Macaca mulatta: one gene and its partner. The protein of the gene in region 1 purifies or fractionates together with the protein of each later gene. This does not show direct contact. Links are inferred from orthologs where the notes say so. Each region holds a gene or a part of one and is shown in the gene's direction. Other genes may lie near its edges. The genes, in order: ZFC3H1 and MPHOSPH6.

Evidence for each region.
Region 2: the proteins of ZFC3H1 (region 1) and MPHOSPH6 purify together in Homo sapiens (affinity purification with mass spectrometry; 3 studies listed by BioGRID and IntAct, with this or other methods). This does not show direct contact. The link is inferred for Macaca mulatta from reciprocal best matches to the Homo sapiens genes ZFC3H1 and MPHOSPH6.

Annotation. Positions count from the first base shown.
Region 1 is NC_133416.1:78,740,109-78,743,469, reverse strand, and holds the end of ZFC3H1 (zinc finger C3H1 domain-containing protein), read left to right. Parts: intron 1-285; coding exon 286-387; intron 388-1,068; coding exon 1,069-1,108; intron 1,109-1,408; coding exon 1,409-1,471; intron 1,472-1,600; coding exon 1,601-1,738; 3' UTR 1,739-2,569; downstream 2,570-3,361. UniProt on the Homo sapiens protein: Subunit of the trimeric poly(A) tail exosome targeting (PAXT) complex, a complex that directs a subset of long and polyadenylated poly(A) RNAs for exosomal degradation. The RNA exosome is fundamental for the degradation of RNA in eukaryotic nuclei.
Region 2 is NC_133425.1:77,532,948-77,537,431, reverse strand, and holds the start of MPHOSPH6 (M-phase phosphoprotein 6), read left to right. Parts: upstream 1-1,609; 5' UTR 1,610-1,619; coding exon 1,620-1,670; intron 1,671-4,484. UniProt on the Homo sapiens protein: RNA-binding protein that associates with the RNA exosome complex. Involved in the 3'-processing of the 7S pre-RNA to the mature 5.8S rRNA and play a role in recruiting the RNA exosome complex to pre-rRNA; this function may include C1D.

The DNA of each region.
Region 1 (3,361 bases):
GGAAATAGGGACTCTTATTTGGAGGGAATGCTTTTATGTCCTATAGAAATACATGCACCTTAGTGTAGTTTGGTAAGATGAGCATAGATCTTGACTTGACCTCTTCATAGTTTGCACATTCCTGTCCCAGGGTAATTTTTGTAAGAGACATTCTGAAATATTTGCTGGGTAGCCTTTATGGAATTTAACTAATCAAGATTTATACTTAATCATTGTGCTCATAGAGCACATTTGGGGTTCCCTACACTGCAATGCTTTGTTCATTTTCCTGAATATACTTTACAGGTTACTTCAGCATGAATGGGAAGAAAGCAATGTTCAGATTCTGAAACTTCAAGCCAAGATGTTTACATATAATATCCCAACATGCCTGGCCACCTGGAAAATGTAATGCAACAATCATGTACATGTTTTTATAGCTATTGCTTTTATTTATAAGGTTTGCTCCAGACAGGTAAAATCTGAAATGACATCTATATATATATGTATTTTTTTTTCTTTTTTTCATGGACAGATTGCTATTCTTAATTTAGATTTGTTTTTAGCATTTACTGAGGTTTAATGAGAGTGAGTACTCATTAAGAATTGCCTCTAAAAGCAAAAAGCGTAGACTTTTAATTTTCTTTGAAGGAGAACATTTAAGTAACAGTACTGTTATCAAACAAATCTGCTACAGTCATTTTAAGACCGCCTCTTTTGAAATGGGGTGTGTCTACCCTGTTATAGTCTGATTTCTTCTTTCTTTTAAAGGTGTTAGTGCTAGGTATTTTTGACTAGTAATTATGAGGTGTTTTGTTTTTGTTTTTGTTTTTTTTTCCTCCCGTGAACGTTATTTATGTTCAAAACACTGGTCTGCTTTTTTCTTGTAAAGTTGATAAAAATTGTTGAATTTTTCTTTTCACTATAGGTTTTCCTCCTTGGAAGTTTAGCCTGTTAACTTTCAGGAAGTTTTGTACTCAGATTCCCACAGTCAGTATTCTGCCAGTGGTGGTGTTTCATTTTGTTCAAAGATATATAAATTTTTCTTTTCCTTTTTCTGTATTCCTTTTTTTTTTTTTTTTTCCTTAGAGCCATTGCTGCTGAGATTGTTCTAAAGGGACAAAGAGAGGTAAGCCATGGTTGAATATCAGATGGGTCACTTTTAAAAAGTTTTTCTGTACCTTTTGTTGACTTCTCAATTTAAAAGAATTAAAGCACAGAAGTTAACATTTCATGCACACTAGGAACCAGGTGGGGAAACAAAAGTAGTTAACATTTTAAGAGCACCAAATATTTGGAAACTCCAAAACTCAGCATAACCATTTTGTCTCAGATGTTACTGTGAATTACCATTCTTTAAACAGATAGAATTATGAAGGTGTTTTTCATTATGTTTTCTGATGGAATTATGTGTATATCTATCTTACAGGTCCACCGTTTATATCAGAGAGCCTTACAGAAGTTACCTCTTTGTGCATCACTGTGGAAAGATGTAATGCTTTTTATCTTTTATTTTATCTTGATGTTTTCCTGTAAATTTTCTGCATGTGCCATATCCATTGATGTGGTAATGCTCAAACTCTAGCTAAGTCTTACTTCTATGCTTCCCTGTCTTTTACAGCAACTCTTGTTTGAAGCATCAGAAGGAGGTAAAACTGATAACCTGAGAAAACTAGTTTCCAAGTGCCAAGAGATTGGAGTCAGCCTAAATGAGCTCTTAAATTTAAACAGTAACAAAACAGAAAGCAAGAATCACTGAACACTGGGTGCAGTCAGTTCTAAGTCCTTATAATAATTGCCAAAATTATTTGAATGATTCTTCAAGATTAGGCTGATCCCTGGCTAAGGTCTATGTAAGGCAGACAAGCATTATTGATCATATCAAGTTCCCTACAATATCCTGTCCTCAAAACCGGAAGCAATGAACATGATCCTCTTCGGTTGGATAAATGAACTTCCTGTTTGGCCTGCTTCTAGGCCCTGCCAGATTCTCATAACATCATATACGTAAGTATAGTTCCTCAAAGTGACTGACATTTATTTTAATTTTGCTTTGTTTTTGTTTTTTATTTTCTCCCCCATTCCTTTATTTTGTGTTATTCCTGATTCACTTGACACTCTCTGATGCCTGAGAGATTCCTGTTTGGGATTTAATATCCAGGGCTGTGTTTACAGTAAAAAAGCAGGCAGTCCCTTTTAGTTTTTCCTTTTTAAATTTTTTTGAGATTCTTCATTTCAGGATTTAAAACTATAGCAGTCCATCTTAAGGAAAGTGTAACTGCCATGGCCACAAGTCTGCTAGTTGCACTTGAATGCTCTATCAGGGTTGTTTATTGCCCTTTCTACGTTCTGGACTCCTTGCCGAGACTGTTTAACTTGAAGATTAAAGAAACTATTGCAAATGCCAGTGCATCAGAACCTAAGAGTGGTCAAATATTATGTGCAATTTTTTTGTAAAGAAATTTTAATTTATAATAAAGTTTAACAGTTTAAAGAACAGTTAATATTTGAACTGCTTTGTATTGAAATACTACTTTGTAGTATTAAAATTGTTTATATACTTTTTTAATATAAGTTAACTTTCTAAAAACTCTTGCTGTCTTTATTCACTTTTCACACTGGTGGGAAAGGGTCGAAGTCGGAGATAAAGATATTTACCATAACTTATACTTTTTTATCTTGAAACTGCTTTCTCATTAAAAAAAAAATTTAATGATTTCTTAATTCATGAGAAGATGGATACTGTTGTGAGGACAGTGAACAGAGAGGTTTGCACTACCATTAAATTCCTTGTTCTCAAATTCACAGTGTTTAGAAGGTGCCTCCCAACTGTAGTTTGAATGATTTGCCTAGTGACATGCCATCTTCTGTTGAATATCAGTGTGATTGAATGCAAAGGAGACCTTGCTTTTTATTTTGTTTTCAGTTTATATTTGGTTGTTTTAACCTTGGCAAGAAAAATGTTAATGACACACACACACCACCACAAGTCTGGTCTTAACAACTTGCACTTGAACTGTTAGAGGCAGAGCAGCAACCCCATGAAATACCAGGCAAACTTGTACATGTTTACATTTGTATAATGCTCACTAAAAATAGAACCATATTTTACCAGACAGGGCGATTTGGCTAGTAAGTGCTGTTAGATGGGGTCAAGAATGGAATCCATTTGTCTAGTGTCTTTCATTTAATCAAAAAGAAAGCTGGAGGCTTACTGGTTTTTCCCTAAAACCAAAAAAATGTGGGTGGAAGATAGTAATCCTGGAGGAATAGATATCTATCTACTCACTGTATGCATTTAACTTTATACAACTTTGAAAGCTTTTCGTGCTCTGATTTTTTGAAAACAGTTGTTAGGTGCTTAGTAAAATATTTCCAGTGT
Region 2 (4,484 bases), on another chromosome or scaffold:
ACACTACCTCCAACTCTTCATACAACAGGTTTTTCTCAACTTTCAAGCCTTAGCACCACCATCTGACAAGGGCCATTCCAGACCACCTTGTCTAAAGTAACCCTAAACGTTACTCTAGGGGTCACAACACTGTTTCCTCTATTTCACGGCAGTCACCACTTACTTATGTCCAGAATATCAGCTTCAGGAAAGATGAGGATAGGTGTTTTTACACGCTATTATACCCCGGCATCTCACACACAGTCACAAGTGAATAAGATTCCGTAGCCACTTAGTACATTACAATGATTTTATTTACTCCTGGGAAAACCTCAAGGGCTTTTAACATCCAAATCGGTGTTTGAATTTCAGCTCTAACATGGATTAGCTGTGTGAATTCCACCAAGTCCCTTACCCGCTCTGTGTCTCAGAATTCCTAACAACACGATGACAATACCTTCTTTCCGGTTCTTAGGGAGATTAAGCGAACTAATTACCCATAAGGTGACCAGGTCAAGAATCTGACATAAAATCTATGCTATCAGCTGAAATGCTATTAGCTTGAGGGTGTTCCAAAGCGTCGGACCTGGGAATGATTTTTGAAAACGTGTTTAGTTGGTACCCAGAGCATTAAACACCAGGGTATGAATGCCACTCTATTTTCAGTGGTTTTTAAAATTCTTTTTTGTTTTGTTTTTGAAACAAAGGCTTGCTCTATAGCCCAAGGTGGTGTCCAGTGGTGGGATCTCAGCTCACTGCAGCCTCGACCTCCCGGGTTCCAGTGATTCTCCAGCCTCAGCCTCCCAAGTAATGGAGACCACAGGTCCGTGCCACCACACCCACCTATTTTTTTTTTTTTTTGGTAGAGATAGGGTCTCACTATGTTGCCCAGGCTGGTCTTTTCAATTCTTTAGATCAAAACCAAGCCTTCTTCTCATTCAGGTGTCTTTGGCACCCATCCCTGCCTCCATCCCTTGCAGTTTCTTCAGATTCTTCTGTTTAGCAGGGATCACTCGGCCAGACACGCACCGGCAGCAGCCCGGGGATGAAGCCAGCCCGCCTGGGGTGGCCCCCGCCACGCTCCCCGGGACTCAGGGCTGCTGTAAGGAAAGCAGCAACTCGTAGGGTCCTGGTGAAGAGCAAACGACCTGGCCCCTGCACAGGGACCCAGAACACAGGAAGCCCGCCATCCACGTTAGGAAAACAATACACGTGGGTAACCAGACCCAGGCGGGTGGCACGCGTGACGCAAACCTGTGAGGCTGGCGAGGACTACTGAGTCTGAAGGGAGTCTCTGAGGAAGGGAGTCCCTGAGCGAGGATGGGTCCCCGAGGGGGCCAGGCCGACGTCCCGGGAAGGCGGCCCCCGGCTCGGGGAAGCCAGGCTCTGGGTCCTCCTCTGACTTTGGCCTTTTTGGGATCTGCCGCGCTCATCCCCGCGCCACCGCGCCGCGCGCTTACCCCAGCCTCTCAGTCACCAGAGCGCCCGCTGAGTGGCCGCGCCGGCGCGCGACACGCAGCGGCGGGGCCGCGGGGCGGAGCGGGGCGGTGCGCTTTACGAGAGCGACGCAGCTGCGCACGCGGCTCCGCGCATGTGCAGTGAGGCTCGCGGCCGGAGTGCGGCGCTGGGCGGAAGCCACCATGGCGGCCGAGCGGAAGACAAAGTTGTCCAAGAATCTGCTGCGCATGAAGGTGCGGGGACACTGAGAGAGCCATGCCGGGCGATAGGGGCACCCGATCGTTCCGACCTGGCCAGGGCCGAGGCGGCGGGCGAACGAGGGACACCAGAGGGGCCTCAGAGGGCTTCCAGCTCTCGTGCTCATTCATTCACTTAGCGCCTGCTCTGCACTGTTTACTGGGAACCGGGTTACGAATTAGGCCGACTCTCAGGAGGCCCACGGGTGGATGGGAGCTCGCATACACAGGAGCAAGCAGTCAGGGTACAGCTTACCAAGTGCAGTGAGGGTAGAAGCGCCGGAGCCCTGGGAACTCACCCAGCTTCTCGCGGGGTAGTGGTCCCTTTAGGTTCCTGGGAGGGTGGGAGGCACAGCGTCCTAAACTAGGAGAAACCTGAGTTCAGAAGTCCACGAGGCAAGAAAGAAAAAGAAAACCATGGAGATTTCCAAGAATGAGAGGTAATTCAGTATGTCTGGAAGGCAAGTACTAAGAAATGGGGTTGCAGAGTAGGCAGTGGTCACAACGTGCAGGAAATTTGAGGCCAGATTAAGGATATTTTCCTTTATTTTGTGAGCAATGGAAAGCTATTGACACGGGGAACAGTATAAAAAAATAGCAACTATTTATAGTACTAGACAATGTTTTAAGGGGTTTGCGTATATTAACCTGTGCAATTCACATAATGACACTTTGAGGTGACTACAGGCAATAACTCTCTTTTTACAGTTAAGGCAACTGAAACAGAAATAAGTAACTTACTCAAAGTCGCACAGCTAATAAGTAGTGTAGACAGGACGGGAACTCAGGCAGTCTTGCTCCAGAACCCTGGCTCTGTGTTACTTACTCTGTGATGCCTGTCACTGAGCACTACTTATAGAGGGTAGCAAACTGTTACATGTCATGTTTAAAGAGGTCGAATTTCCAAAAGAAGGAAGGAAGCGTTCATAATGTTTTGAAAGATTGGAGAGAGAGGCCATTCGCAGTGGTTCATGCCTGTAATCTCAGCACTTTGAGAGGCTGAGGTAGACAAATCGCTTAAGCCCAGGTGTTTTAAGACCAGCCTGGGCAACATGGTGAAACCTCATCTCTACAAAAGATACAAAATATTCGTTGGGCCTTGTGGCACGCACCTGTAGTCCCAGCTATTTGGGAGGCTGAAGTGGGAGGATCACTTGAGCCTGGGAGATCGAGGCTGCAGAGAGCTGAGATGGTGCCACTGCACTCCAGCCTGGGTGACAGAGGGAGACCCTGTCTCAAAAAAAAAAGAGAGTAAACATTACATGGGCAAGATTTGAATGGAGTTGAGCTAGGATGGAATTAGGAATGAATGGGTGAATGAGGATGCAGGACAAATTACATCTAACTTAGAGTTTGTCAAGCACTTTCATGCATATTAGGAAAATTTGAATCTTTACTGAACAGAGTTTGCTTTTGATTTTATGATTTGTAATAACATTAATTTCAGAGAAGTGGAGTGAACTGGCCAAGCAGATATTGAAAAGATTTTAGCAGTTGTTTTAGCTCTTGGAATAAGCCAGATGATGTACTGGGTGACTCAGGCTCAAACTAAATATCTGAGTTGCAACTAAGAAGGAAGAAATTAACTTAAAACAAGTGTCCACTCCCACCAAATGGGGAGACGCAACTGGACATTGGAAGCAAAGGAGAAGGAAAAAGATCACCCAGATTCTGTATTTGGTTTAGCAGTTTTGGTCATTGATGAGAAAAAACTTACTGGCAAGATAGCAGGAGACACTATCTATACTGATAGAAAAGAGTATACTGTGAGAAGGCATGGAACAGCTGCACTTAGGGTGCCTTAACCAGAGCTAAGTCCTATATAACATGGGTCCCCAACCACTAGGCCACGGAGCAGCACCAGTCCATGACCTGTTAGGAACGGGCTGCTCAACAGGAGGCGAGCAGCAGGCAGCAAGCGAGTGAAGCTTCATCTATATTTACAGCTGCTCCCCATAGCTTGCATTACCACCTGAGCTCCGCCTCCTGCCAGATCAGTGGCAGAATCCTAGATTCTCCTAGGATCAAAAACCCTACCGTGAACTGCACCTATGAAGGATCTACCTTGAGCTCTACTTATGAGAATCTAATACCTGATGATCTGTCGTTGTCTCCCATCACACACAGATGAGACTGTCTAGTTTCAGGAAAACAAGCTCAGGGCTTCCACTGATTCTACATTATGGTGAGTTGTATAATTATTTCGTTACATATTATAATAATAGAAACAAAGTGCGCAATAAATGTAATGCACTTGAATCATCCCTAAACCATCTACCCCTCCCCTCTCCACCACCCATGGAAAAATTGTCTTCCAGGAAACCCATCCCTGGGGACCACTTTTTAGGGCAAGTATGAGAGGGTTGAGGATTTAATCCTGACTCACTTGAAGGCCTTTGACTTGGTCAGCCATTGCAGGATGATCCCGATGGGAAGCAGAAAAAGAAAGATGTGGATGGAAGGTCTTCCAGTATGGAATGGTTGTAGAAAGGGTGCTTATTTGTGATTTTAGTACTGTTAGACTTTTAGAACAGGGCTTGGCAAGCTTTCTGTAAAAGACCATATAATAAATATTTTGGGCTTATGAGCCAGACAGTCTCTGTTACAACTACTCAGCTCTGCCAGTGTTGTTTGGGACAGGATGACCATGGCTGTATCAACAACAACGGACATCTAGCCTGAGGACCATATTGTGCTGTTGCCTGCTGTGAGTCCCCACTGGTTTTGGAGTGTGTTCTGAAATGCCCTAGAGTAGGAGAATCGAACTTCTACCTAAGTCTGGAGGTGCTTGATTCATATTCACAGGGAGTT